7 linked regions of the Canis lupus familiaris genome follow. The protein of the gene in region 5 interacts with the protein of the main gene of each other region in a pairwise test. Links are inferred from orthologs where the notes say so. Each region holds a gene or a part of one and is shown on either strand. Other genes may lie near its edges.

Region 1 (3,500 bases), on a different chromosome or scaffold from region 5:
CGTGTGTGTGTGTGTGTGTGTGTGTGTGTGTGTGTGTGTAGATGCGTCCGGCATGGTCCATGGCCGGACAAGGCCATGTGTAAATGTTTACACTGGGGTTACTAATTCAGAAGGTAGGCGTACATTTTCCATTATAAGGGTATTTACCAGAAGAATTTTAAAAATTAATGATTAGCTGGGTAACCACGGTGATAGGCGCTTTCATTTCGGGTGGTTCTTTGCTGTTTGAGTAGTTTTTGCCACTTGGCAGGTGTTACTTTAAATAATTGCTTTAATTAAGAAATGAGACAAGTTAGAGTTGCTTTTCTCACTTTTGTGCCACATGATGCTGGAATTCCAAGCAAATGCAATAAGGAAGAAGAAAATCCCCACAGAAGAGCAGGAAAGGGACAGTGTGCAGACGTGCTTTATGACACCCGTCTGTGAAGGTTGTGGGCCAAAGGATGAACATGTGAGAACCTGTTTTCATAAAGTAGCAACAAATGAAACTGTTGAAACCAGACTGTTTACAGTAGCATTAAATACTGTGGAATAAATGCAACCAGAGGCTCAGGGCCTCCAGACTGCAAACTCCAGAGCCCCACTGAGAGGAGCCAAGGATGGCGCCAGTGACCCACCACCTGGCCCCCGTGACAGGCCGGAACCGAGGCTGTGAAGATGTCCGTCCTCTCCAAGCCAGTCTACGGAGCGTCTGGGGACCCAGTGAGAATGCAGGCACGTTTCTGTGGAACTTGCCTTGCACACCCTAACGTGTAGGAGTGCAGAGTGCCCAGAGGCCCTTGGGGTGCCCAGGGTGCTTGGGAGGCCAGGGCGGAGGCTCGTTAGTAGAGGGCACCCAGCCCCATTAGCATGACAGGCAGGATGGGAGCCGGGCAGCCTGGGCGCAGGGACATGGTGATTGAGACATGGGCCTGCAGAGCAGAGTCCACACACGCCATGTGTACAGGGGCTCAGTTCTTGACCAAAGTAACAAGAGGCGGGAGGGTGGGCCAGTGAGGGGCCTGGGTCCACGGGGTATCCTAGCAGAAGACGGGAATTCCCCTTCCTCCCCAGACAGCCTTCCAGATGGACCTTGATGCCCAACAGGCAGAGCTGTGCAGTTCTTAGAGGAAGACCCGGGCGGGCGGCCTCTCCATCGCTTGGGTAGACCCAACCCGTGAAGGAGACAAGGGCGCCCCTGCAGGTGGAAAGCCGGTCAGTGGGCCTTGCCTCCACCAGAAGACCCCAGTGGGAGTGAGGAGGGGAGAAGTGTGTAGGTTCATCGGCACTTTCCTCAACACACAAAGGGCATCTGCGAATCAGAAAAGGCAGTGGCCATCGCATCAGCAGGCCCTGCCCAAGAGGCCCTCCACCCCTCAGGCCCACTCGCAGAGCAGAGGCTGCCCGCCTTGCTCCCCACATGCTGCAAGCCACAGCCAGCCGGGGGGCCTCTAGACACTGTGCCTCTTGAATATTTCCTCTGGAAAGCCACCTGCCGTGTCCACAGAGGCTGAACTTGGGGCGGCCCCGTATGCAGCAAGCAGGGCTGGAGGCAGCCGAGCGCCCGTGAACACGCCAGGGGCTGGACCATGGGAGACGGTCCCAGCAGCCAGAGGGCTGACATGCGCAACATGGCCAGTCTCCCAGATAGAGCGGTCAGGGCCGGGTTCCTTGTGGAAGTCGGCAGCGGCCCCTGTGACAGGAAGGGACTCCGAGCAGAGCAAGCCAGCAGGACCCGAAGTCGGGATCAAGGCTTTGGGGGAGGCCGCTGCGCCTTCCTAGATGAGAAGGAAGGCCGACCACTCATTTAATGAAGGACTTGTCCTCACCCAGAAGTGCGATTAGAGACACGGAAAGGGTGCACAGAGTGGGAGAAGGTCCCTTCGAGACGTGCAGCTGACGGCCTGTGTCCAGAACGTGCGTGGTGCTCCTGTGAGCCCAGAGACGGCCTGGGACAAAGACGGACGAGAGACTCGCACAGGAATTTCGAGTAGACCGTGCGTCGCAGTGAACAGGGATGCTTCCCCTGGAGTCGCCGGGTGGCTCTGCTCCGGGACCGCCGGCACCGGGCAGCTCCTCCTCGGGTCTGACGTGCGCACACCAGCAACTCTCAGGGACCTGTCACGGTGCTGTCTGTGGTCACTCGTGTCCCTCCGGCGTGGCGGTCGGTGGGCTGGGGGGCCCCGGCGAGCTGGGGGTGGGTGGCCGCCACCTGCCGCAGCACGCGTGACCGTGAGAGCTAGCTCTGCCCACACGACCAGAGCCCTCGATGGGTGCAGCGCGTACTGGGGGGGTGTTAACAGATGTGTCTGTCACTGGGGATTCGTCAGGCTTCTCTTGAGCCGTTGGACCTTTCTGGGGGTAATTGGCATTTACAGTAAAGGGGGGGTGCCCTGAAACGTCAGCTGCAGGTAACAGTCCCAGGGGGGCTCGAGGCAATTTTCTTGCTCTTTTATGTTTCATAATTTCTTACATGTGTTCTTTTTTTATTTTTTATTTTTTTACTTTCATGCTTTAAAAGAAAAAATGTGGAGTGGGGTGCTTGGGGTCCTACAGGCCTCTCTGAAGCAGAATGATCTGCTCTGAAAATGGCCACTTGTTTGGGGGCCTCAGGGTTCCTGCCCTCAGTTGTACCCCAGGACTGTCCTCACCAGCCGCGGCCCCTCTCCACCTCCTGTATCTGTCCTGGCTTGGGGAGGGGTGTGGAGCAGTGGGGGCGGCCAGGGGTGGGGCCCTCCGGGGCAGGGGAGCGGCCATCATCCTGCCGGACAGCAGCTGCCACCAGAAACGCATTTGCTTCCTCCCTGTGGTCCAGGTAAATTTGAGCCACCGCTGTTTCACCCGAACGTGTACCCTTCGGGCACAGTGTGCCTGTCCATCCTCGAGGAGGACAAGGACTGGAGGCCAGCCATCACGATTAAGCAGGTAGGGCGCCAGGGTGCGCGGGGCCAGACGACTGTGGTCTCGCTGCAAAGCCGAGGCCGACGTCCTGGGACAGTTTGCCTTTCAAACCCCTGAGCTCCATGTTTTGTCTCACACAGATCTTGTTAGGAATACAGGAACTTCTAAATGAACCAAATATCCAGGACCCAGCTCAAGCAGAGGCCTACACGATTTACTGGTTAGTAGTGGTCTGGCCCCCTCGCTGTGGCCGCTCTGGTTTGCACACACTTCCTGGGAGTCCCGTCTGGGTTGCCCATGAGAAGGATAGCGGCAGGCAGGCTGTGAGTTGGGCAGCAGTCCCTGTCGCCCCTGGCAGCCTGCGAGGGTGGCTCTGAGACACGGGCTGTGACCGGGACACTGAGTGAGGTGGTCAAGGAAGCATCTGAGGGCAGGACGCAAACAAGCAGGCCCTGGGGAGGCAGCAGGAGCTGCATGTGCAAAGGGCCTGTGGTGGGCAGGAACGGGTGACCAGGGCTGGTATGGCCACAGTGCTGTTGGGTAGGGGGTGCTCAGGAGGTGGCAGTCAGGTGATGTGGGCTCCTGTTGGCCACTTTGTCCCTGATGAGCTATGGCCAGGG
Region 2 (4,215 bases), on a different chromosome or scaffold from region 5:
GTGTCTGCCTTGGGCTCAGGTCATGATCCCAGGGTCAGGGGATGGAGTCTTGCTTCAGGCTCCCTGCTCAGTGGAGAGTAGGGAGTCTACTTCTCCCTCTGCAGCACCCCCTATGCCCCCCCCCATCCTGCCATGCTGCTCTCTCTTTCAAAAATAGATACACAAAATCTTTTAAAAATAAAAAAAATATATTTTATTCAGGAACTATTGCAATAAGGGGAAAGAGACCTCTGTATACAACTGAGCTCAATTACAAATACAGCATGGACCAGGGGAAATTTATAGCCATGGGGGCTGGGAGTTGTCAATGAACCTTGAACTAAGTGGAAACATCAAAGGTAAGGTGGGGGGGTGGGGGTCAGGATTCCAGCTAAACCAACTTGACAGGATTTTTCAGAAGGCAAGCCAGAATGATCACCTAATACCTGGGGATGGTGGTTGGTGATGAATTTGATTGGATATTAAGGGTAATCAGATACTGAGGGTAGGGGAATCCTTTCTGGACTGAATTGGGAGCCTGACTCAAGTTTGATCAAGGGGAGAATCTTTGCTAGAGCCTCACATTAGCGATTTTTTTTTTCTTTTCTCTTTTAAGATTTTATTTATTTGACAGAGAGAGCAAGAGAGTACAAGCAGGGGCAGCAGCAGGAGAAGGAGACTTCCTGCTGAGCAAGGAGCCAGATACTGGGCTCCATCCTAGGACCCTGGGATCATGCCCTGAGCCACCCAAGTGGCCCTAACATTAGAGATTCTAGCCAGGAGCCCAACCTGGGTGAGTGGGGGCAGCGATGCCTCCAAGCACAGGGGCCGCAGCCAAGTGCCGCCTGGAGCCCAGGTGGTCCTGTGGTCGTGCAGCTCTGGGCTGGCCTTCCTTTGTGAGTATCAGATGGAAACATTCACATTAGCAGTTTGGTAAGAAAGTCTCCATCAAGAGTGCAAGACAAAGGGGGGAAAAAAGGCTTATTCCACTGTTCTCATTTTGGTGTATTTTTTTCCCAGTCCTTTCTTTTTGCGTGCTTTAAAAAGTTTGTGCTGTCAGGAGTTTGCACCTTGGTTAACTCAGCACCCTTCGGTCTGTGGCTCCTGGAGACCCGCTGGGTACCTGCTCCTGCAGCGTCTGCGGCACTTGAAACTATATGTTGACAAACAGTGTTTTCTTTCTTTTTTATTTTATTTTATTTTGAGACTTTGTTTTCCTTAAATCGAGAGTGAAACGGGTTTCTGTGCTAACGAGGAAGGAAAGGTGCACGCAACACCCCCGCACTGCGCGCCCAGCGACCCCGCAGGGCTCACCCCGGGGCGGAGCCTCGGTGGGCGGGGCCAGAGCTCGCACCTGCGCAGTCAGGCCCAACGGCCGCCCCGCCCCTTCGCGCTGGCCCCGCCCCGCCCTTCGCGCTGGCCCCGCCCAGTTCCGGGGGGGAGGGGGACGTGTGTTCCCGCGACACCGCTCCGGCTGCTTCCCTTCCGCCCTCCATTGCCCTTTTTAAAAACTTCCTTTTATTTTTAACGGAGCGCCGCGATGGCCTCCGGCCTGGGGAGGCTGCTGGTACGGGGGCCTCGCTGCCTCCTGGCCCCGGCCGCCCGCACGCTCGTCCCGCCGGTCCGGGGCGTGAAGAAGGGCTTCCGCGCCGCCTTCCGCTTCCAGAAGGAGTTAGAGCGGTGGCGCCTGCTCCGGAGCCCGCCGCCGCCCGCGCGCCGGTAGGAGCCGCCGGGGAGGGGGGCGGGGCGGGGGCGGGGGGAAGGGGCGTAATTAAGCGTGTTTCGTCTTAATCCTGTTCCAGGACTCCGGCAGAGAAAGAAAAACATCCTTTTTTATTTTTATTTTTATTTTTTTTTTAAAGAGTCTATTTCTGTCCTCGTGAGAGGGAGCAGCAGGCTCCCCGCTCCCGGGACCGGGTCGCGCCCCGGGCCGCGGGGCGGGCGCTTACCCAGGAGCCCCCGGGCGCCGAGAGGAAGGCCCCTGCCGGCGACCTCCGACCTCCGACCTCCGACCTCGGGGTCCTGCCCCTCTGCCTCGGATGCCGCGCTCGCTGCGGGTGTGGGCCCCGCACCCCTGCCCCTGCTGTTGCGGCCGGTGAACAGTGGCCGGCGCCGAAGTCAGCGCCCCCTGGGGAATCCAGGCTGAAATTTTGATCTACTTTGGTATTCGCCTCCCCCCCACCCCCCGCCGCAAAAGTTGACCCAAAGTGTGCATTTATCAGTAAGGAATATATATGCCTGTCCGTGTTCCTGTGCTCTTTCAAAGCAACGTGAGGTCATTTTTTCCCAATAGGCACCAAACAGTATGTCTCTATTCACATTTCTTGGATTATCGTGGGGTGAGTCGTTTTAAGGCCTTTATCGTTGCAAAAAAACTGAGGGTTTATACAGGCCACGTGCCTTTTATGGCTCACAACCAAGATCTTCGTATTTAACTATCCATTTTTACCTAAACGTTTTATTTGGATTTTATTGTTTCTTTAAGAAAAAAAAAAAAAAAAACCTTTTAGGCATTATTGGGGAATGATTATGAACTTTTAACGTACTTGCAATGCTTCTAGATTATTTAGACATTTATTTATTTATTTATTTATTTATTTATTATTTTTTTTTAGATTTTTATTTATTTATGATAGTCACAGAGAGAGAGAGAGAGAGACAGAGAGGCAGAGACACAGGCAGAGGGAGAAGCAGGCTCCATGCACCGGGAGCCCGACGTGGGATTCGATCCCGGGTCTCCAGGATCGCGCCCTGGGCCAAAGGCAGGCGCCAAACCGCTGCGCCACCCAGGGATCCCAGTTTCATTATTATTAACTAAACTCCATACTTTATTCAGATTTATTTAGTTTTCACCCATTGTCCTTTTCCTATTTTGGGATCTTATCCAGGATATCACATTATATTTAGTTTTCATGTCTCCTTAGGCTACTCTTAGTTGTGACAGTTTCTTAGACTTTCTTTGTTTTTTGTTATTTATTTTTTTAAGATTTTATTTATTCATTCATAGAGACAGAGAGAGAGAGAGGCAGAGACGCAGGCAGAGGGAGAAGCAGGCTCCATGCAGGGAGCCCAACGTGGGACTCAATCCTGGGACGCCAGGGTCATGCCCAGGTTGCAGGCGGCACTAAACCGCTGTGCCACCGGGGCTGCCCTAGACACTCATTTTTTTTTTTTTTAATTTCTTTTTTTAAATTTATTTGTGATAGTCACAGAGAGAGAAAGAGAGAGGCAGAGACACAGGCAGAGAGAGTAGCAGGCTCCATGCACCAGGAGCCCAACATGGGATTCGATCCCGGGTCTCCAGGATCGCGCCCTGGGCCAAAGGCAGGCGCTAAACCGCTGCGCCACCCAGGGATCCCTAGACACTGATTTAAATGAGTGTTTTTAGGGGCACCTGGGTGGCTAAGCATCTGCTTTCAGCTCAGGTCATGATCCTGGGGTCCTGGGATTGAGTCCTGCCTGGGGCTCTGCAGGGAGCCTGCTTCTTGTCTGCCTGTGTCTCTGCCCCTCTCTCTGGGTCTCTTGTGAATAAGTAAAATCTTTTAAATATTTTTTAATACTTAAGAGATAAGTATAGAATACTTTGGTTAATAGTGTGAACCTGTGAAATTATAACTCCTATTTCATACCTAGGTATAAAGCGTAATTCCATGGTAATAGCAGAAATAAAGAATCTGAAAGGTAGGGTAACTAACGGCTTAGTTTCTGATGTTGAAGAACTTCTTTAATGTGGCAGTTGGCCCAAGGGGAAAATGAATCCATGTAATATAGCAAAGAACCACAAGGAATCATCTGACTTGAATTCTAACTTTCAGAAAATCAAAGCATGGTGTTAAAATGAAACTCAGTCGTTTTAATTTCCCTAATCAATAAAATTGCAACACAAAGGTTTTGCGTCATTGTAACATCTTGTTTTCTTTACCATCTCTTACTGTCTTCTGTTTTACTTTTCAGTTCAGAGAAGCCCAACTGGGATTACCATGCTGAAATACAAGCATTTGGACATCGGTTACAGGAAACCTTTTCCTTAGATCTTCTCAAAACTGCATTTGTTAATAGCTGCTATATTAAAAGCGAGGAGGCCAAGCGCCAAAACCTTGGGATAGAAAAAGAAGCTGTCCTTCTGAATCTTAAAGATAATCAAGAACTCTCTGAACAAGGGACATCTTTTTCGAAAACTTGCCTCACACAGTTTCTTGAGGATGCGTACCCAGACTTACCCACTGAAGGCGTTAA
Region 3 (4,134 bases), on a different chromosome or scaffold from region 5:
CCAGAAGTCCTCACGCCCTGCATTCCAGGCCCGGGAGCTGCCCCGAATTCCCCGTTTGTCTGTTCTGCCATTCATCTGTTTCTCCAATGGTCCCTGAGTTTCTCCCTGTGCCCATCCACCATTTGACTACCCAGATGCCGTTATCAGAGGGTCTCAGGATTTTCTTCTGTCCTTGTCTGTCCCTCTGTCTCTCCATTCTCTGTGCCTGGGTGGGACTGTGGAGTTTGCTCACTGTTGCCTCACCTCTCCCTGGTTTTGTTAATAAAATTTTGAAGAACCAACAGAGATTACTACTGGTTTCCACTTTATCCAGCTGCATCTGCACTCCCAAACCCCCTGGGTGAAAGGGCTGAGGCACACCTGTATTCAGGAGGAGTTGCAGTATAGAGCTTCGAGTATGCAGTTGGCAACCACCCTCTGCTCTGCAGGAGCTCCCTTGGGCAGCGGACTATGACTTACTAAGGGAGAGCCCAATGACGTACATCCTCAGCATTTCATCTTGAAACAACGGGTATACAGTTGGCGCTATTTCATTATGTGGCTGATTTCCCCCGTGACACCCCCGTGTCAGCATCGACATCCTCCAGATTAGACACGTATTCGCTGACGGCCACAAGGTCTCTCGTTGCCCCACAAACCCCTTTCCGGGCACGTGTGTAACAGAAGTCCGAGAGCCCCCTCCGCCCGGTCGCGGGGCCCAGCGGGGCCCACAGCGCAGCCTCTCTAGGGCGCGCACGCCCTTCTCGGTGGCACGGCCCTTCTGTTTACCTGCAGCGCGGCACCGCCCCCTTCGCCCGTTCTCGCGGAGGGAGGGAGCTGGGGTCGGCTTGCGGTGCGCTCCTCCCCGCGCGCTCCTGCAACTGCTCGCGGGGCGGAGAGGACGGGACACACGAGTTCTGGGGGAGATGTTTCAGGGGCCCGCACAGCACAGCGAGATGGGAGCGAGATGGGGGCGAGAGATGAGAGGAGACCTCCGGCGCCCCCCCTCCAACTACCCCGGGTGGAGACGGCCAAAGAGCGTAGCGCCCCCTCCTCCTCCACGCCCCCTTCGGTTGGGAGAGCGCAGGCGCAAGCCAAGTGGGCGGAGTGGGGAGAAAGTGCCGGTTGGCGGAGCGAGGCGCCGGGGGCTGAACGACTCCGGGTGGGGAGGGGAGAAGAGGGGGCGGTGCAGCTGAGGCCGGCTGTCAGGGCGCAGGCGCAGTAGGGCCCGGGCCAGAGGCGCGCGCCGCCGTGAGACTAAGCGCGCAGGCGTGGGGCCCTCCCCACTAAGGGCAAGCGCGGGAGGGGCATTAGCGCGCAGGCGTCGTCTGGGGGGCGGGGCCCTAGAGGCGGGCAGCGGGTTTCCGGTTCCGGGAGCAACGAACGGCCGCGGCAGCGACAGCTACCGCTTCAGAGGAAGCGTCTGCGGAGGAGGAAGAAGAGCAGGGCAAGGCGGGAGTCACAGGCGGGACCCTCGGCATGGGTCCACGGACCTAGAGCGGCGGAAGCTACCGGCCCGGTGCCAAGCTGGTGAGACAGTTGTGGGGGTGGAAGTGGAGAGCGCTCAGGCGTCGGGGAGGGAAGCATTGAGGCTCCGAACGCTGACGGAGAGGAATGAAGGGCCCTCAGGCCGATGAGTGGGAGGAATGGCGGCGTGGGAATACTGACGGGGAGGAACGGGGAGGTTTTGGCTGAGGACGAGGAGGAATGGGGCTCAGTGTGCCGGTAGGTGGACGTGTCGGGAGTCTGGACGAGGACGGAGAGGAGCGGAGAAGGATCCGAACGCCGAGGGGCGATCTCGGTGCCTTCGGGGTTAAGGAGTGAGAAGTGGGGGTTTAGAACGCTGAGAGGGAGACAGAGGGGCCCTCAGGTTGGTGACGGGAAAAAACAGGGGCACTCGGATGCCGAAGAGGAGCGACGGGGGCTCAGATGGAGGAGGAGAAGGAATAGGGCTTCTGAAGGCCGAGGTGGGGATGGCACGATCCTGGGACACGAACAGGGAGGATTGGGGGGTGGCTTCAGAGGGCTGGGGGGGGGGAATCAGGGTCTCTGAGAGTGTCAGCGGACGGGAGAGCAAGGGACACCGACGGGGAGGAGTGAAGAAACTGCTGAAGACGAGATGAATAAGGTCTGGGGATGGAGGTCGGTGAAGACTTGTGGCTCAAGACGCTTACAGGCAAAAGGAGGAGGCAGCGTTCAGGCTGAGGAACAGAAGGAATGAGAGGATAAAGAGGGGAGAAGCTGGGGCTCTCGGGCAGAGGACACAGGAACCTGAGGCAGTGGCATGACAAGAGGACATCAGAAAGGGAAGGAGGGAAGGAATGGGAGAGCTACAGGACTGAGAGGAGTTGGGCACTCCTGGGCCAACCAGGGGAGTGAATGCGAGGTTAGGGCACCGAGGGACAGTCCTGGGACCTTGGCTGAGGATGAGCGGGATGGGGCCTCTCGGACTGATAATGGGGAGTATGGATGGTTCAGGGTGAACCCTCAGGGGAGGTGTCAACACCAGTAGGTCAAAGACCATGTCTCTTGAGACGAATGACAGGTTCCTAGGTTGGCAGAGGGGAGAAGGGATGGGGTCTCAGGCTGAAGATGAGGAAGAGGTGGGGATCAGGACATGGAGTAAGGAATGAGGAGCTTTGGGTTGAGGATACGGCCTGTTAAGTTAAAAGTGGGGCTGCCAGGTCCGGAAGGGGAGGAACGACTAGCCTCTGGGCCCAGCACACGGAAGAATGAGGTGGGACGGGGGATTTTCTCTACTGTATTGACGGGTTGCCTGTGGTAGGGACCCGGCGTGGGATGGGCATTAGTAAATAGCAGCTGTTGGTGTGGCTAGAGCACAGCATGTTCTCTCCTAGAGCCTCAGTTTTCTCCACCGTGCCCTCCCTGTTGCAGGCCGCTGCTCCTTCCCATGGCCCCCATGGCTGAGGACTGGCTGGATTGCCCAGCCTTGGGCCCTGGCTGGAAGCGCCGTGAGGTCTTTCGAAAATCAGGTGCCACCTGTGGACGCTCAGACACCTATTACCAGAGGTACTGGGTGGGTTGTGGACGGTCATAGGTAGGGCTGAACCCGCTTAGGCAGGGTGAAATAGGGTGAAATTAGGTGTGGTTAATTTTGTGGGTGGGTTAAAATTACACATGTATAGTCAATTCTTATTTGTAGATTCCATGTTTGCAAATTTGCCTACTCACTAAAATTTGTGCCCTTAAAGCCCATATTTCCTGTACTTCACAGTCTTTCACAGACCTGCACAGAACAGCAAAAAATCTAAGTAGCCTAAAACACGCATTCGCAGCTGAGGTGCTGCAGTGCTGTCTAGTGTTCTTAGTGCAAGAAGTCTGTGATGGACTTTAAGGAGAAAAATGTGATGTGCTACGAGGAGAAAGTACACATTAAATAAATTTCAGGCATGAATTGTAGTACTATTAGGTGTGACTACAATGTTAATGAATCAAAGATGTGGTACATCTAGAAAAAGAAAGGGAAATTTTCTAATTTGTCCGATTTCCAGTTTCTGGAAAGTGCTAAAGTAACTTGTATAATACATAATGGAGCTAAGGAAAAGGTGGGCTAAACTTGAAGATCCATAAGGCAATGACCAGTAACAGTGTAGTGGACAGTGTGAGAGGCTTAAGGCCAATGACGTTGACGATTGTGTTACCCCTGGTTAGGAAAATGTTAAATTTATCTCAGCTAGTGCTGACTGGCTCACACATTTCAACAGGTGAGATTGTGAAAAAACTTTAAATTGGCTTACAAGGTAGGTTCTGGAGATTGAGAATTTGCAGACGAATTTTAAAAATAATAAGTGTTATATGGGAAAAGTGTCACATAGAAGAATAGGTTTTCAATAACTGATGAGACTGTACCTTATTTTACAAGTACCTTGGTAAAAGTACCTATATAACAGTACTCCAAAGCTGGCTTTAAATCATTCGAAGGCCATACATAAGACAAGGTTACACAGAATCAGTTGACAGAAAATCAGTTGAAAGAAATGTCACCTGAGGCTCTCAGGAATCTAAACTGTAGTTTCACTAGGAGCCAAGATTCTATATTCACTAATTCACGTGTGCAACGTGACTTTATAAAACATTTCATGAATGAGAACCGGCTATAAATATGTGAACATACGTATTTATAAGAGATTTATA
Region 4 (4,087 bases), on a different chromosome or scaffold from region 5:
ATTAAGGCAGCAAAATATTCTCTGTAAAAAGTGGGAGTTGTTTCCACAGCCTCAGAGATGAAGGTCAAGACTGCCTTCTTAGTTTGGGGAGCTCTCCACTCAAGTGTTCAAAGGAAGAGAAAAGACAGCTTCTCTCCTCTTGCTACCGTTGCAGCCATTCCACTGCTCACTCTGGGTTACCTTCTGCCTTTTGTAGATAAGAGTGCTGCAGGGCTCGGAAGGCAGAGATTCGCTTGTGTGGGTTAAAAGTCAGCATCTCCTGAGAAGGGGAGGCAAAGATCAAAAGGTCATGAAGACAAAACAAAAAAAAAAAGAAAAAGACTTCCGCTCACCCCCAACAATACCTAGGATGGGCTATTTTCTACATCCCTCTTTATGGATGGCCTATTCACTGGCGCCAGTAAAAACTAGCCCATCCACCAACCAAGTCTTAGTAACCGCAATGCTAGTGCTCGGTCTTCCACCCCATCCTCAGCCTGTGCCCGTGCCCACGCCCAGTACCAGCAGCAGCTGTGCTCCAGACTCCTCCATCTCAGGTACCACTGTCTGTACTGGACGGGGCCCTCTAGGGGAAAAGGCTCCTCGGGGCAGAGACACATCTCGGGGCCAGTCATCCTCTGGGGGCAGCCCGATCAGACTATGGGGAACAGGAGAGCTCTGGTCAAGAGGGTCTTTCTCTAGCCCACATCTCCAGGGGCAGAGCCAACTGCCATGTGGGGCTCAGCAGAAAAAAGATTTGGAATGGAAAGTTTTTTTTTTCTCCCCTCATGCTGGTCACTTACTCAAAGATTTTGCCTAACTGGTCAGCTTCAGAGTTTCCACAGAAGAGAGGCCTAAGGTGGAAAAAACACAGAAGTCATGTCCAAAGATACAGTAGTGGAATAATTACTGGTAGGTAATGGCTCAAAACAGAGAGTGTGGGGGAATACAGGGATGTGAAGTTCCTAACTTTGGGACATTTCAGAGTTTCTGGTTAGGGACAGAACAGTCAACAATACTTAAGTGAAAGATTGGGCAGGAAATGGATGTGATCTATGACTAAGAGATTTGGTTTGGGAAACTCAAAATAGTTCAGGATGCTTGGGTCCCATACTTGCGACGAAACATCTCTGCGAAGATACAGCCGACACTCCACATGTCCACGGGTGTTGCATACGTAGACTGCAGAAGAACTTCTGGAGCACGATACCAGAGTGTAACAACCTAATAGGAACAAGAAAAGTGGATGAAGACCCCATGGGTTACCATGAACCATAACTGGTTGACTAAAGTCACAAAGTGCCCGACTTCTCAACTGCTACGGTCAACCCCTCTCCTACTCCCCTCTTGCTACTGACCACAGGCGTAAGTGCCATCTGGTAGCTGTAGATTCTGGCCAGGCCAAAGTCAGCCAGCTTGACTGTCCCACCACTGGTCACCAGAATGTTCTCGGGCTTCAGGTCTCGGTGAACGATGCAGTTGGCATGAAGGAAATCTAGGCCTCTTAGAAACTGGCGCATCAGATCCTGGTTTAGAAGGGGGAAGAACAGAGGACCTGGAACTAGGCACCATACCTGAAATCACAGCAGGTTCTGCCACAAAGGTCTCAATCTACTCCTCAGTGTCCACCCACCCTACTCACCTTGATGGTCTCCACTGGCAAGCCCGGTGGGGGTGCCTTGTCCAGGTACGTTCTCAGGTCTTGGTCCACGTGCTCAAACACCAGGGTCACTTTGGTCTCCCGGTCGGTTCGGGCAGTGGCGCAGACGTCCATTAGCCTGGCCAGAACAAGTGGTCACTCACTGATCAATCCCTCTGGACCCGATGCGGCCTTCCCCATTTCCCCAGAATCCCCACCTACAAGTTGTCTTTTCCCCTTTACTACCCACTCCCCACCCCCCACCTTCTCACCGGACAACGTTGGGATGCTCAAAAGCCTCCAGCCGCCTCAGCAATGCCACTTCACGAACTGTGCTGATGGGAAGGCCCCCTCCGGCACCTCCTCCATTAGGGACTCTAACGCTCTTGAGGGCCACGAAGTGGCCGCTGTGCGGATCACGGGCCTTGTACACCGTTCCATAGGCACCAACCCCAATCTCAGCCACTGGCTCGTACCGAGGAGTAGCCATTCTCGGATCAGAGAAGACCCTACAATCACAAAAGCCTCCTGCCACCGAAAATCCCTCAAGAGTTCAGGTGGTATGAGCCTGCCGCAACGAGGTGACTCCCCCACAAGGCATCACAAAGACCCCCCCTCCACCACCCCGTCCCTCTCCCCAGTTCCGTGAGGCTGGCTCCTCAGCTGACACAATGGCTCTAACCCCAACCCCGCCAGGGGGGGTTATTTAACCCACGCCTTAAATATAAACGTGAATCCCTCAAAGAAAGAATTCCTCTTCCTCGGGGACGGGCCGTCGCGCCCCGCACGGGGCAGACCGCACACGACACACCCCCTGCATCGAAGACTCGACATCCGTCCCTACCATTACATCCCAGCTGACCACAAAGGAACTTTGCGCGGGCCGCACTTCCCGCCCTCGAGCGACCCTCCCGTAACCTGCCCGCGTAGGCAGACGCGAGGGCGACAGCGGTCCCGTCCCCGGGAAGGCGCCACGCTCACCTCACTCGGCGCCGGGTGCTGCGGGGGCGGCCCGTTATCGGGGCCCCGGAGCCAGAGCCTGCGGCGCCATACACAGGAGCTCTGTCCGGGGCAGCTGGACGCTCCGGGCCCGACCATAGACAGGCCGCAAGCTAGAGCGGCCCCCGCACCCCCACCCTCACCATGTGACCAGCTGCCAAAGAGGCGCGCGGAAACTGGCGGGGCGGGGCGAAAGCCGGACGTTCGGGCCACGTGACGAGCCGCGCGTGCGCAGAGGGGCGGCCAGAGCGGCCTCGGCCGGGAAGCGGGCGGGGAGGGGAGAGGGCAGGCGGGGCGACGGCGGCCACGTGATCTGTTGCTATCACACGTGACCGCCCGACTCCGCTCGGAGGAGCAGAGGTGTGGCTACGCGGCGGGGCACGTGACCGACTGCCAGACCCGGCGGGGGTGCGGGGAGACGGGGGAGGGTGGAGTCCAGGGCGGTGCCATGGCAACCCGGGCCACCCGGCTCCAGGGCCGAGCTGCAGGCCGCGCCTGAGCGCTTCTGGCGCTCGCTCCTCGCTCCGCGCCTCCCTCTGTGCGCGGCGGTCAGGGAGCTGGAGACGAGGCGGGGGCGGGACGGGCGCTGGAGCCTTTCGGCCTCACTGCCGCGGGGAGACCTGGTCTCGTTTGTGTCTTTGTTTCATTCATTGGCTCATTCAACAAATTTTTACCGAGTGCTCGCTTCCTGTGTGCATGCGGGTTTTTTTTTTCCGGTGTCTCAGTCGCTGGCCCTTTAAAGGAGTGATGGGGCTGTCTGGAAAGACGTAGCCCCCGGTGGGGACAATACCCATCTCAGGGCACAGCCAGCACTAACGGACTGACGGAAGGCACACTAATGCAGTGACCCAACCGGAGGAGTGTCAAGGTGATGCCCTCCCATCTTTCCAACTTCCACCTCTTCCAGGGAGCGTTAAAATAAGACGGTGCTTTCTGGCGGAGAAATTACCAATGAGCAAGAGACAGAAACACTTAACCTGCAAGGTTCTTTGCAACAGGGAGAGGCAATGATATGCGCGTTTGTGTATGTGTGGGTATTTTACACATTGTGTACAGATGGACAGATACAGGAGTGAGCGTGTGCAGGGAGGTTACCTCCACCACCACCTTGGACCTCAGCACTGCGTGAGAATGATTTGTGCTCTTCCACAAACCCTGTGACTCCTTGTTTGGGGTCGTTCTGCTTCCCTCTTTCCCCCGGTGCGAGCTTTCTTAGTCCTTGCTCCCGCCCAGAACTTGGACTTTCCCAAATTGCTTCTGCTCACAGACACTTAGGTCGACAATAGACAGGTTCCTCTGACTTTCCTTATTTCCTAGCCCTTTAGGGGAATGAGAGTAAGGAGGGAAGAGATCAGTATCTCGTTCGGGACAACCTGTCTAAAATCATTTCATGACTCTATTTGCCACTCCTTCCACCTTAACTTCTATTCTCCTTAACCATCTAGTGGAGGATGTAAGAGCTCAGGCTCG
Region 5 (3,500 bases):
GCCCCAGCAGAGCCCTCCTACCGTGCCCCCATGGAGAAGCTCTTCTACTTACCTCATGTGTGCAGCTACACATGTCTGTCTCGAGTCAGGCCTATGAGAAGTGCACAGTACCGGGGCAAGAATCCCCTGTTGGTCCCACTACTCTATGACTTCCGGCGAATGACGGCCCGCCGCCGAGTTAACCGCAAGATGGGCTTTCATGTTATCTATAAGACACCCTGTGGCCTCTGCCTTCGGACAATGCAGGAGATCGAACGCTATCTTTTTGAGACTGGCTGTGACTTCCTCTTCCTGGAGATGTTCTGTTTGGATCCATATGTTCTTGTGGACCGAAAGTTTCAACCCTATAAACCATTTTACTATATTTTGGACATCACCTATGGGAAGGAAGATGTTCCCCTATCCTGTGTTAATGAAATTGACACAACCCCCCCACCCCAGGTGGCCTACAGTAAGGAACGAATCCCTGGCAAGGGTGTTTTCATTAACACAGGCCCAGAATTTCTGGTTGGTTGTGACTGCAAGGATGGGTGCCGAGACAAGTGAGTTGGTAGGGTAGTTGCTGGCCCTGCCTCCAACTTTGTTATCCTTGCCTTTACTTTCTACCACTTCTTTTGCCTTAGATCTCCATTAATTTCCTATTTACATCATTCCTCAGCTGGAGCTCCTGCCAGAAGACCTCCATGAAAGCTATGAGCGAGGCTTGGGTCTGATGTGGCCCCCACTGCATGACTCTGGGGACTTGTGCCCTGTGTTTGTTTCTCGGATTCTCCTTTTCCTTTGTGTCCCTCCATCATGCTTATAGTTGCCACTTCATTTCATTCTGTCACTCTGTCACGTTCTTACCGTCTTTTCCTTTCTCGTTTACATGTATGACAGAAGAGAAATTTCACTGTCTTCTCCCTTATCCTTCTGTAGTACTTCTTGCCTCTAAATGTCTCACAGCTCTAGCCATCATATCCTTTTTTTTTTTATTCAGGTCCAAATGTGCCTGTCATCAGCTAACTATCCAGGCCACAGCCTGCACCCCAGGTGGCCAGATCAACCCTAACTCTGGATACCAGTACAAGAGACTAGAAGAGTGTCTACCCACAGGGTAAGTAGGGGAAGGCAAAGCACCTCAGAGATGGAGTTCTAAAAATTGGAACCAGGGATCCCTGGGTGGCGCAGCGGTTTGGCGCCTGCCTTTGGCCCAGGGCGTGATCCTGGAGACTCGGGATCGAATCCCACATCGGGCTCCCGGTGCATGGAGCCTGCTTCTCCCTCTGCCTGTGTCTCTGCCTCTCTCTCTTTCTCTCTGTGTGACTATCATAAATAAATAAAAATTAAAAAAAAATTTAAAAAAAAAAATAAAAAAAATAAATAAATAAAAATTGGAACCAAAAATAGAGTAACTGAAACCAGGTAAACCAGGTATTTTATCAATTAAATCTTACACACTGAATTTCTTTTTTTTTAATATTCATTTATTCATGAGAGAGAGAGAGAGAGGCAGAGACACAGGCAGAGGCAGCAGGTTCCATGCTGGGAGCCCGACGTGGGACTCGATCCCAGGGCTCCAGGATTGCGCCCTGGGCCAAAGGCAGGCGCTAAACCGCTGAGCCACCCAGGGATCACCCCCCCCCCTTTTTTTTTAATATTTATTTATTCATGATAGAGGCAGAGACACAGGCAGAGAGACATACTGAATTTCTTTTTTTTTTTTTTTTTTTTTATTTTTATTTATGATAGAGAGAGAGAGGCAGAGAGGCAGAGACACAGGCAGAGGGAGAAGCAGGCTCCATGCACCAGGAGCCCGACGTGGGATTTGATCCCGGGTCTCCAGGATCGCGCCCTGGGCCAAAGGCAGGCGCCAAACCGAGGCGCCACCCAGGGATCCCGACATACTGAATTTCTAGTACATGTTTCTTCCTTGGGCTTTCCTTTAAATGAAGACTTCTAATGATTGAATAGGACCTAGCAATTGCAATTGTGTCATAGTTATATGTATATTCTAACAGACTGTGGTTATGCTGGCAAGGGAGACGTGTTCATAGAAAAGTATGCAGGGACCTGGTTATATAGGACTTTGTAAATGATAATAAAAATTAGAACCAAATTGTGGTATGATAGAAAGCTGTTAGAGAATTTTAAGCAGGCAAATTATGCCAGCTGCCTTTTGAAGGTTACCATGGCTTCTTGGTGGAGACTGGGTCTTAGAGCAGCAAAGGTAAAACTGAGAAGTCCACTTAGAATAATTATGGGAATATAGGCGAGAGGTTGTGCTTGCTGGGGCTTATACTAGAATGCTCACGGAGAGTGGAGCTGAAAGAGGGTAGAGTTGGGATTTGTTTGGCGGTAGAGCTACAGAACTTGATAGATGGACTGGCATGGGAGAGAAGCAGCGGAATCAAGTTCAAGTTCTCTAAACTTTATACTTCAGCAACAAAGTGGGCATTGGTACATTTTACTGAGATGGAAGACTAGAGAAGAAGCATGTCTGGGTGGAATTCAGCTTCTGTTCGGGCCATGTTACTTACGTTTGAGGTGCCTCCTAGGCACTCCAAGGAGAAATGTCAAGAAGGCAATGAGATTTCTGGAGAGAAGTATAAGAGCTGGACATAAGAAATTAGGAATTCTGAACACAGAAGTGGTATTTAAAGCCTGGATGAGTTCACCTAGAGAGAATATTGATAATAGAAAAAATTAAGGGGGCACAGGAGTAAGTACTGGGCTCTCCAACTAGAGACTGAACAGAGGAGGTGAAGCCAGCATATAAATTTGAGAAAGGCAGGTCAGGAAAAGAGGAAGACAATGCAAGAGTTGGATATAAAACTTGGTAAAATGGTTATATATGAACATAGTAACTAACAAACCTGGTGCTCAAGATACATAATTAGAAGAGAGGAGAAAAACATGAATGAATACTTCAGAAATTTTCCCATAATCGAAGAGTCTGTTTGCCTTTTTTTCTTTTTTTAGAGATTTTATTTATTTACTCCTGAGAAACACAGAGAGAGAGAGAGAGAGAGAGAGAGAGAGGCAGAGACACAGGCAGAGGGAGAAGCAGGCTCCATGCAGGGAGCCCCATGTGGGATTTGATCCTGGGTCTCCAGGATCATGACCTAGACCAAAGGCAAACGCCCAACTGCTGAGCCACCGAGGCGTGCCTGAAGAGTCTGTTTTCAAATAGAAAATGATAGTCATGTCCTGCATAATGGGTGAAAATATATTATCCCCACTAAAATATTAAAAAATAAAATGTAATCATGTCCACAGAACACTGAAGACACAAAATTAAAAACCCTAAAAGCTTCTAAAGAAGAGAAATAGACCACAAAAATACTCAGATACCTTCTGCCTTTGCAAAATGACTTTGGAAGCTAGATGGAAATTAAAGACTCAGTTCAGAATTCTAAGGGAAATTATTTCTAACTTGGCATTCTAAACCCCAGACTATGAATTTTAAGTGTTAAAATAAACTAAAGACATTTTTTAGACATGAAATACCTCAAAATTGT
Region 6 (4,136 bases), on a different chromosome or scaffold from region 5:
AATCAAAGGTCAGTTTGGAAATGCTGGTGAGTCAGACCACCGAGACACAGAGGTGAGGTGGAAGGAGGGACTACGGGGAGAGGATCTCAGATGTCAGGCTAAGACACAGAATTAATGCAGAGAGTAGCAAGGAACCAGGTTTGGGAGAAAGAGCTCAAAGGCAAGGAGAAAGAGTGAAGCCTAAAATGGGAAATTTTAAGACGGGGTGGCTTCATGGAAGGGTCCTGGGCTCTGGTGTCAGATGGGTTGAATGCCATCCATGTTCTATCCCTTACAGGCTGTTTTACCCTGGGCAGCTTACTTATGCTCTCTGGGCCTCAGCCCCATCTACATAATGGGCATAATAGTAGCATCACAAGGTTGAAGGACATAAAGCATGTAAATGAAGTAAAACTAACCATTCAAATGTGGGTTATGGCCCCCTCCCGTTGAACGAGGTGCCTGACCAGCGTTCTTTAGATCCTGTACAATCTGTGCCTGCGGCACATAGCGGCACACGCTGTCACTGCTACCGTCATCTTCCCTGTCGTTATGTACAATAACAATAATGCAATGGGTTTCTGACACAGAGAGAACGGGGTTTTCTTGGGGGGGGGCGGGGGCAGAATGCATAACTTATCAGATTCTCACATGTATCCGTGACCGGAAAACAAATAAACCAACCCAAACCAACCCAAAATACAGCCTGAAATGCAGGGAAACTAGTTAGGAAATCATAGTTGAGTGATAACCCTAGTAAGTGCTTTGCCTGTCCTGCGGTGAACGCCGGCCTTTCCGAATCCTTCACCCCGGCACATCCTCCATCCACGTTGTGGGACCTCAGTGTCGGGACTGTGCCTCCTTTATGGATATTAGCACAGCCTGTTTTCTCTACCCTGAAGACCAGGCGCCCCGAAGCCTGCCTGTGGCCAGAAGCAAAGGAGATGCCGGCGCTAGGGCTTTGGGAGCGGCGCACAGGGGCCGCCGGCGCCCTGGGGGGCTGGGCTCTGGGTCTCTAAGCTCGCCTCCCCGAGGGGAACGGCCTCTAGGCCCCGCGCGCCCCGCTCGGCGCAACCCGCCTACCTCCTTGGACAGCCGCTTCCAGGGCGCCGGGCCCTCCATCCCGCCGCGGCCGGCCAGAGGGCGCGCCCCGGCCCTTTAGAGGCCCTTTAGAGGCGGCGGCCGGGGCGGGGCCGACCGTCCAGGTGACGCGAGCCCGCCGGGTCCCCGGGGCCGCCCACGAGGGGCGGGCCGCGCTCGAATCTCCCGCCAGTCCGCGGCCGCGCGCTGATTGGCTGCGGGGCGCCCGCGCCGGCTCCCGATTGGCCAGCGCGCCCGGGATAAAGGCCGGCGGCGGGGGCACCCGGGTCAGGCTGCTGGGCGGTGGCACCCGAGGGCTCCCGAGCGGCGGGCTTCGTGCAGGCGCCATGAGCTGCATCAACCTGCCCACCGTGCTGCCCGGCTCCCCCAGCAAGACCCGGGGGCAGATCCAGGTGCCGGCGCGGGGGTGGCACCCCGGCGGGCGCGGGTGGCGGGCCGGGGTCGCGACCCGGGTGCGGGTTGGGGTTGGGGTTGGGGTTGTGGCCCTGGCCTGCAGTCCGTGCGCAGCGGGCCCCGAAGTGACCTCTCCTTCTCTCCTAGGTGATTCTAGGACCCATGTTCTCAGGAAAAAGGTAAATAAGTAATGTCCTCGCGGGGACGGCCTTCTCCCCCCTCCCTTCCGGGGGCCCGTCCTCCTCCCCTGCTGCCCCTCTCAGTGCCCCCCTGCAGGACGACCCCTCCCCCGGACCGAGCACGCGTTCCCGCCCCATGCGGTCCTGCAGGAGGGCGCCTCTTCCCTGCCCGCGGGGTTCAGACCCTTCCATGGGGTCATGGCACCACGTCGCCCCCCTGCAGCAGGTTATGGCTGCTGAGGGTGTAGTCCTCCCTCCCCCCACCCTCCCACTAAATCTCTCTTGGAAAGGAGCAGCCAAGTCTTTTCGTTTCGTTTTGGTTTTTTTTTTTTCAATTTAAAATTTTAATTCTTCTAAAATGGTGTCCTCGGTGAGCTGGGTCCTGTGCACCCTGCAGCATCCACACTCCTCCTTCCCTTCCTAGTGTTTGTTTCCTTAAGTAGTTTACACACTAAGGAGTCAGGCCAGGATGCCTTTGCTCCCCTGATGTGACAGGACGGTGGCCTGACCCAGGCAGGGCTAGTCGGCCCCCTGAGTGACGCCCTCTGCCCTGGGGGGGGTCACTGCAGGGCAAACCTGGTGCCCACCACAGTCAGGCCAGGGTGGGCTCTGGGACCCAGAGGTAACTGCTTTTTTTTCTTGAACAACAACAACAAAAGACTGCGAAGTCAATGCAGACCATGTGAAGACCTCTGGGATGGGACTCTTTGGGGATGCAATCCAGACCCCTCTTCTCTGTCGGAGGCCTTTGACTCTACTCACCCCATCAGATCCCTGAGACATTTATTCTCCCACCCCCTCCCCAGACCACCTGACCTCTGTTCCTTGCCATCACCACCCTCTGTCCTCTCTGGTTTTTCTGTCCATTGGTGGGTCTCAGGCTGTAGACCCCCAGCAGGGGTGGGGGGGGAGCCCCACTTGTGCTAATGGGGACTTCCTTAACATCCTGGGTCTCACCTAGTGCTCTGCTCTTGCAGTACCGAGCTGATGAGAAGGGTCCGTCGCTTCCAGATTGCCCAGTACAAGTGCTTGGTGATCAAGTATGCCAAAGACACGCGGTACAGCAACAGCTTCTCCACGCATGACCGGTCAGTCCCTGTTCTCTCCTGTCCTGTCCCAGCACTTCTTCCGGAAACCTGGTGAAAATGCGCAAGGGCATAGGCCATACTGTCAGAGCGCTCTTCAGCAGGACTGGTTAGCCATGCCGGTGGGCGGCATGGAAACGTGCAACTCAGCAAACTCTCAAGGTCGCTTGGCAAGGGATCTTAGGACTTGGCCTCTCACAGAGTTCTGGCCCGGTGTTCTTCACAAAGGGAGATTTTGTTCCCCCTCTCGCTCCCTCAGAGTCCATTTGGCAATGTCTGGAGACATCTGTAGTCTTCACAGCTGGAGTAGGGGAGGGCATGCTATGGGCATCCAGTGGGGAGAGGCCAGGGATGCTCCTGAATTCCCAGTGCACAGGACGGCCCCCACAACAAATACTGACCCTGCCCCGATGGTCAATAGTGCCGAGCTTACATCTGTGCTGTTGCAAACTGGTTTTGTTTAGCGTGCATGTTGCTTTTCATTTAGCTTTTCAGTTGTTTTATCTTGGTTGACTCTGTTGTCTTGTGGCCTTCATGCTTCCCAGTTTTGTGTTTATCTGCCTGTGCCCTGCACACGTTTCAGTCTGCAACCTGAGGTCGGGAATGAGAGGTTGAGTTTAGTTTTACTCTTGCCTGTTCCTTGGCTGCAGATTTCTGAGCCTGAGATGTTACCTCTTTTGGACTTGTCCGCCCGAGCCGCCAGCGGCAGAGCCACGCTGTGCCACAGGGAGGGCTTGCAGCCTCAGGACTGCCCCGTGTGTGGCTTTGGGGTGGGAATGTGGGGTTTCTGAAGCCGGGCGGGTGGTGGGTGGATAGTGTCTAGGAATTGGAGTTAAAGCATCAGGATGTGAGTGACTGGTGCTTTCTGCCGTGCTGCCCTATGCAGGTCATTTAGGTCTTGCAGTTACTTCTTCCCTAAAACATGTGTCTGCTTCTGCTGCACTGGCCAGGGGCACATCCAGGGAGGGCAGTGCGAGCAGAGGAGGCCGCATTACGCAGTGATAAGTCAGATCAGGGGCATGTCTGAACTTGGCCGGAGCCGCACACATGCCCTCTCACTTGGGCCACAGAAGCTGAGACGGGCCATGGCTGTGACTCAGCCCTTGGCGGGAGTGACAGGGCTCCAGAGATGCTGCCCTTGCCCACCCTCTGGTTTTCTCTGGCTTGGGGTGGGAAAGGGGAATTTAAAATGCAGGAAATACCATCTCCTGCTCTTGCCAGATCTTGGAGTAGACTTATAGCAAGATAATAACTGAGCAGTGGTTGTATTTTATTTTTTCTAAATACAGCTACAGGCTGCTGAGCCTTTGGAAAGTACCAGCCCCCAGGGGTACCTGGATGGCTCAGTTGGTTAAACGTCTGCTTTTGGCTCAGATCGTGATCCCAGGGTCTTGGCATC
Region 7 (4,297 bases), on a different chromosome or scaffold from region 5:
GCGGGCAAGGGCGGGGGGGGGGGCGGACACCCACCCCCTCCCCGGGGCGCGCACTCCCGGGCCCCGCCCCGCCCCCTCCCCCTCCCCTGCCGCGCGCCCGCCCGCGCCCGCTCCCGCGCCCGCGCACGCGCACCGGCCGCGAGCGAGAACAGAGCGGACACACCTAACCTGCGCGCGCGCGCCCCGCGCCCCGCCCCCACTCGGGCCGAGCCGCGCAGCCCGACCCGGATCCGCTCCCCCGCCCGAAGCGCCCCTCCCCTCCCTTCCCCTCCCCTCCCCTCTCTCCGCGGCCTCGGCGCCTCCGCCAGCCTTCGGCAATTTCCGGCGCTCGGCGAGGCCCGAGGCCCCGCCGCCGCCTCCTCCGCCGGACCCGGCTTTCTGTCTGCGGCGCCGGGGCGCATGCGCAGACGCCATCTTCCTCCGTCTCCTTCGCCTGCCCCCTCCCCCTCCCCCCTGCCGCCGCCGCCGCCTCCTCCTCCTCTCGCCGGCGGTCGCCCCTCCTCCTCCTCGTCCTCCTCCTCCTCCTGCGCTCGGGCGCTGGTCCCTCCTCTCCCGCTGCCGCGAGAGACTGGGGGACGCGGCGGAGCCGGAGGAGAGCACTAGTAACAACCACCACGGCCCCCTCCCCGCCCGCCCGCCCTCCGCACCCACCCACTCGCCGACACCGGCCAACCCCACCTCCCGTTCCTTTGAACGGCGTCGGCTGCAGTCGCTTGCACCAGCCCGTCTGGCCCCCAGCGCCGCCGAGGAAGGAGCCGCCCGCGAGGACGAGGACGAGGACGGGGACGAGGACGAGGAGCCGAGCGGCTCGCAGCCCGCCGCCGCCCCCCGGGGAGGCCCGGGCGCCGGCCCCTTCCTCCCCGAGGACGCGTGCCGAGCCGAGGCGCCTGCCCCGAGGGAGGAAAATGCTCGGGCTCCATGGCTGCCAGTGATGGAGCGGTCCCTGCGCTCCCGCCGCCGCCGCCGCCGCGCCCCGGCCGTGCTCCGCGAGGACCCGGCGTCCCTGCGCGCCCGCCCGCGCCCCGTTGCTGGGCTCACCGTACCGGGCGCCCCGCCGCCCCGCTCCGAGCCTCGCCGCCCCGGCCCCGGCCGCGGCCAGCGTCTGCTCACGGAACAGCCGCCGCGAGCCCAGGGGGTTTGAAAGGGTCCGCGGGGCGCGGGCGGGGAGGGCCGAGCGGGGCCGGCGGGGCCGGGAGGGGACAGGCTTGAGCGACCCTGAGCTCGGGGCTCGGGGCTCGGGGGCGGCGAGGGGACGGCGGCCCCCGCTCCGCGCCGCCTCGGCCGGTGCACGGCGCCCGGGAGGCTCTTGCAGCGGCCGCCGCCGCAGGGGCTGCGGTGCCCCCGAGTCGGCCGGAGAAGGTGGGCATTTCTCGGCTTCCCCACCTCCTCCTCCCCCTCGTCTCCCCCCCACCCCACCCCACCCCACCCCACCCCCACCCTCCCCTGCCCCCTCCCTCCTGCCCCGCACCCCACGTGAAGGCGGACTAGAGAGGGGGGTGTGAGACTAGAGGGGAAAGTGAATGGCGGAGGACTGAAGGGGTCCCCCCCGCTCCCCCACCTCTCGGGCCGCCCCGTTCACCCTCGTTCATCCTCCCTTCCCGAAGCTCGCCCTCGAAGGCAGGAGCGGCCGGCGCCTTCTGCTGAGGAGGAGGAGGAGGAGGAGGAGGAGGAGGACCCGGACCCGCGCCGGGCGGAGCGTCAGGTCCCGTTTTCTTCCCCGGCGTCTCGAATACAAAGATTACGGTGCAGAAGAAGGAAATTGCACTCGCCTCCTCCGCCCCCCCGGCCCCCGACACAATGCACCAGCCGCCCGAGTCCACCGCCGCGGCGGCCGCGGCCGCTGCAGACATTAGCGCTAGGAAGATGGCGCACCCGGCGATGTTCCCTCGAAGGGGCAGCGGCGGCGGCGGCGGCGGCGGCGGCGGCGGCGCCTCTGCGCTCAGCGCGGCAGGTACCGGCGTCGGTAGTAGTGTCACATCTTCCGAGGATTTTCCGCCTCCGTCGCTGCTCCAGCCGCCTCCCCCCGCCGCATCCTCCACGTCGGGGCCGCAGCCTCCGCCTCCACAAAGCCTGAACCTCCTCTCGCAGGCTCAGCTGCAGGCACAGCCCCTCGCGCCGGGCGGGACTCAGATGAAAAAGAAAAGTGGCTTCCAGATAACCAGCGTCACCCCGGCTCAGATCTCCGCCAGCATCAGCTCCAACAACAGCATCGCCGAGGACACGGAGAGCTACGACGACCTGGACGAGTCCCACACGGAGGATCTGTCTTCCTCCGAGATCCTCGATGTGTCACTTTCCAGGGCGACCGACTTGGGGGAGCCTGAGCGCAGCTCCTCAGAAGAGACTCTGAATAACTTCCAGGAAGCCGAGACACCTGGGGCAGTGTCTCCCAACCAGCCCCACCTCCCGCAGCCTCATCTGCCCCACCTTCCCCCCCAGAACGTTGTGATCAATGGGAACGCTCATCCTCACCACCTCCATCACCACCATCACATTCATCACGGGCACCACCTCCACCACGGGCACCACCATCCATCCCATGCCGGCGTGGCCAGTCCACCCATTCCCGGAGGGCCACCCTCCAGCCCGGGATCCAGAAAACTCTCTGCCCCTGGAAGCGCCGACAGCGTTGCACCAGCTGCACCGACTTCTGCTGTATCATCGGGAGGCTCACCTGCATCCGTAATGACTAATATCCGAGCTCCAAGTACTACCGGCAGTATAGGTATAAGTTCTGTTACTGGCGCTACTACGGTGAATAATGTTAACATCACTGCTGTGGGTACTTTTAATCCTAGCGTGACAAGCAGCATGCTTAGTAATGCCAGTATAAATGCGAGCAATATCCCTAGTGCTGCTAGTGCGAGTGTCGGGCCTGGAGTTAGCAGCGGTGTGAATGTGAATATCTTGAGTGGCATGGGCAATGGTTCTATTTCTTCCTCCGCTGTTGTTAACAGCGCCCCTAATGCAGCTGCAGGGATGACTGTGGGATCAGTTTCCAGTCAGCAGCAGCCACCGACAGTTAACACGTCGAGGTTCAGAGTTGTGAAGTTAGATTCTAGTTCTGAACCTTTTAAGAAAGGTAGATGGACTTGCACCGAGTTCTATGAGAAAGAAAACGCCGCACCTGCTGCAGAAGGTGTGGCGATGAATAAAGTGGTGGAAACTGTAAAACAAAACCCAGAAGTGACTTCTGAGAGGGAGAGCACTAGTGGGAGTTCAGTGAGCAGTAGTGTCAGCACACTGAGTCACTACACAGAGAGTGTGGGAAGTGGAGAGATGGGAGCCCCTACTGTGGTGGTGCAGCAGCAGCAGCAGCAGCAGCCAACTCTTCAAGGTATGGCTCTTCAACAGATGGATTTCAGTAGCTCTGGTCCTCAGAGTATTTCAGCAGTCAGTATACCACAGAGTATTTCTCAGTCACAGATCACACAAGTACAGTTGCAGTCGCAAGAACTGAGCTATCAAAAGCCAGGTCTTCAGCCTGTCCCTCTGCAAGCCACTCTCAGTACCGCGACGGGTATCCAGCCATCACCTGTGAATGTGGTTGGTGTAACTTCAGCTTTAGGTCAGCAGCCTTCCATTTCCAGTTTGGCTCAACCCCAACTGCCATATTCTCAGCCGGCTCCTCCAGTGCAAGCTCCCCTTCCAGGGGCACCACCCCAACAGTTACAGTATGGACAACAGCAACCGACTGTATCTGCACAGATGGTCCCAGGCCATGGTAAACCGGTGACTCAGAATCCTACTTCAGAGTATGTGCAGCAGCAGCCGCCGCCGCCGATGCTCCAAACAGCGGTGTCCTCGGGACAGCCCAGTGCTGCGAGCGTGGGAGCAGGATCGACCGTGATTCCTACGGCCCAGCCACAGAGCATCCAGCTGCCAGTGCAGCCCACCGCAATCCAAGCACAACCTGCAGGGGCCTCTGGCCAGCCTGTTGGCCAGGCTCAGACGGCAGGATCTGTGGTACCTACTGGCGGTCAAATCGCAAATATTGGTCAACAGGCAAACATAGCTACTGCGGTGCAGCAGCCCTCTACCCAAGTCACACCTTCAGTTATTCAGCAAGGTGCTCCTCCGTCTTCACAGATAGTTTCACCTGCTCAAACCGCGATTATTCATCAGGGAGTTCAAACTAGTGCTTCGAGCCTTCCTCAACAATTGGTCCTTGCACCCCAAAGTACCTTGTTAACTGTGCCTCCCCAGCCGCAAGGAGTAGAATCAGTAGCTCAAGTTTCGCAGCAGTTGCCTGCAGTTAGTCCTTTGCCCTCTGCTAGTAGTATTTCTGTTACAAATC

The links.
Region 1: the proteins of SETDB1 (region 5) and UBE2I interact in a two-hybrid assay, tested with the Homo sapiens proteins (2 studies listed by BioGRID and IntAct). The link is inferred for Canis lupus familiaris from reciprocal best matches to the Homo sapiens genes SETDB1 and UBE2I.
Region 2: the proteins of SETDB1 (region 5) and MRPL44 interact in a two-hybrid assay, tested with the Homo sapiens proteins (2 studies listed by BioGRID and IntAct). The link is inferred for Canis lupus familiaris from reciprocal best matches to the Homo sapiens genes SETDB1 and MRPL44.
Region 3: the proteins of SETDB1 (region 5) and MBD1 interact in binary tests that used the Homo sapiens proteins (3 or more experiments, as listed by UniProt). The link is inferred for Canis lupus familiaris from reciprocal best matches to the Homo sapiens genes SETDB1 and MBD1.
Region 4: the proteins of SETDB1 (region 5) and CDK4 interact in a two-hybrid assay, tested with the Homo sapiens proteins (2 studies listed by BioGRID and IntAct). The link is inferred for Canis lupus familiaris from reciprocal best matches to the Homo sapiens genes SETDB1 and CDK4.
Region 6: the proteins of SETDB1 (region 5) and TK1 interact in a two-hybrid assay, tested with the Homo sapiens proteins (2 studies listed by BioGRID and IntAct). The link is inferred for Canis lupus familiaris from reciprocal best matches to the Homo sapiens genes SETDB1 and TK1.
Region 7: the proteins of SETDB1 (region 5) and TSC22D1 interact in a two-hybrid assay, tested with the Homo sapiens proteins (2 studies listed by BioGRID and IntAct). The link is inferred for Canis lupus familiaris from reciprocal best matches to the Homo sapiens genes SETDB1 and TSC22D1.

The regions. Positions count from the first base shown.
Region 1 is NC_049227.1:39,915,905-39,919,404, reverse strand, and holds part of UBE2I (SUMO-conjugating enzyme UBC9), read left to right. Parts: intron 1-2,794; coding exon 2,795-2,904; intron 2,905-3,020; coding exon 3,021-3,100; intron 3,101-3,500. UniProt on the Homo sapiens protein: Accepts the ubiquitin-like proteins SUMO1, SUMO2, SUMO3, SUMO4 and SUMO1P1/SUMO5 from the UBLE1A-UBLE1B E1 complex and catalyzes their covalent attachment to other proteins with the help of an E3 ligase such as RANBP2, CBX4 and ZNF451.
Region 2 is NC_049258.1:29,561,591-29,565,805, forward strand, and holds the start of MRPL44 (39S ribosomal protein L44, mitochondrial), read left to right. Parts: upstream 1-1,415; 5' UTR 1,416-1,519; coding exon 1,520-1,698; intron 1,699-3,933; coding exon 3,934-4,215. UniProt on the Homo sapiens protein: Component of the 39S subunit of mitochondrial ribosome. May have a function in the assembly/stability of nascent mitochondrial polypeptides exiting the ribosome.
Region 3 is NC_049228.1:78,689,940-78,694,073, forward strand, and holds the start of MBD1 (methyl-CpG-binding domain protein 1), read left to right. Parts: upstream 1-1,334; 5' UTR 1,335-1,509; intron 1,510-2,874; 5' UTR 2,875-2,890; coding exon 2,891-3,009; intron 3,010-4,134. UniProt on the Homo sapiens protein: Transcriptional repressor that binds CpG islands in promoters where the DNA is methylated at position 5 of cytosine within CpG dinucleotides. Binding is abolished by the presence of 7-mG that is produced by DNA damage by methylmethanesulfonate (MMS).
Region 4 is NC_049231.1:2,166,960-2,171,046, forward strand, and holds the start of CDK4 (cyclin-dependent kinase 4), read right to left. Parts: upstream 2,801-4,087; 5' UTR 2,600-2,800; intron 2,128-2,599; 5' UTR 2,109-2,127; coding exon 1,891-2,108; intron 1,758-1,890; coding exon 1,622-1,757; intron 1,506-1,621; coding exon 1,338-1,505; intron 1,204-1,337; coding exon 1,094-1,203; intron 834-1,093; coding exon 783-833; intron 638-782; coding exon 502-637; intron 260-501; coding exon 167-259; 3' UTR 1-166.
Region 5 is NC_049238.1:60,715,112-60,718,611, forward strand, and holds part of SETDB1 (histone-lysine N-methyltransferase SETDB1), read left to right. Parts: coding exon 1-542; intron 543-979; coding exon 980-1,096; intron 1,097-3,500. UniProt on the Homo sapiens protein: Histone methyltransferase that specifically trimethylates 'Lys-9' of histone H3. H3 'Lys-9' trimethylation represents a specific tag for epigenetic transcriptional repression by recruiting HP1 (CBX1, CBX3 and/or CBX5) proteins to methylated histones.
Region 6 is NC_049230.1:3,864,674-3,868,809, forward strand, and holds the start of TK1 (thymidine kinase, cytosolic), read left to right. Parts: upstream 1-1,336; 5' UTR 1,337-1,406; coding exon 1,407-1,472; intron 1,473-1,620; coding exon 1,621-1,652; intron 1,653-2,629; coding exon 2,630-2,740; intron 2,741-4,136. UniProt on the Homo sapiens protein: Cell-cycle-regulated enzyme of importance in nucleotide metabolism. Catalyzes the first enzymatic step in the salvage pathway converting thymidine into thymidine monophosphate.
Region 7 is NC_049243.1:6,343,633-6,347,929, forward strand, and holds the start of TSC22D1 (TSC22 domain family protein 1), read left to right. Parts: upstream 1-1,497; 5' UTR 1,498-1,797; coding exon 1,798-4,297. UniProt on the Homo sapiens protein: Transcriptional repressor. Acts on the C-type natriuretic peptide (CNP) promoter. Acts to promote CASP3-mediated apoptosis.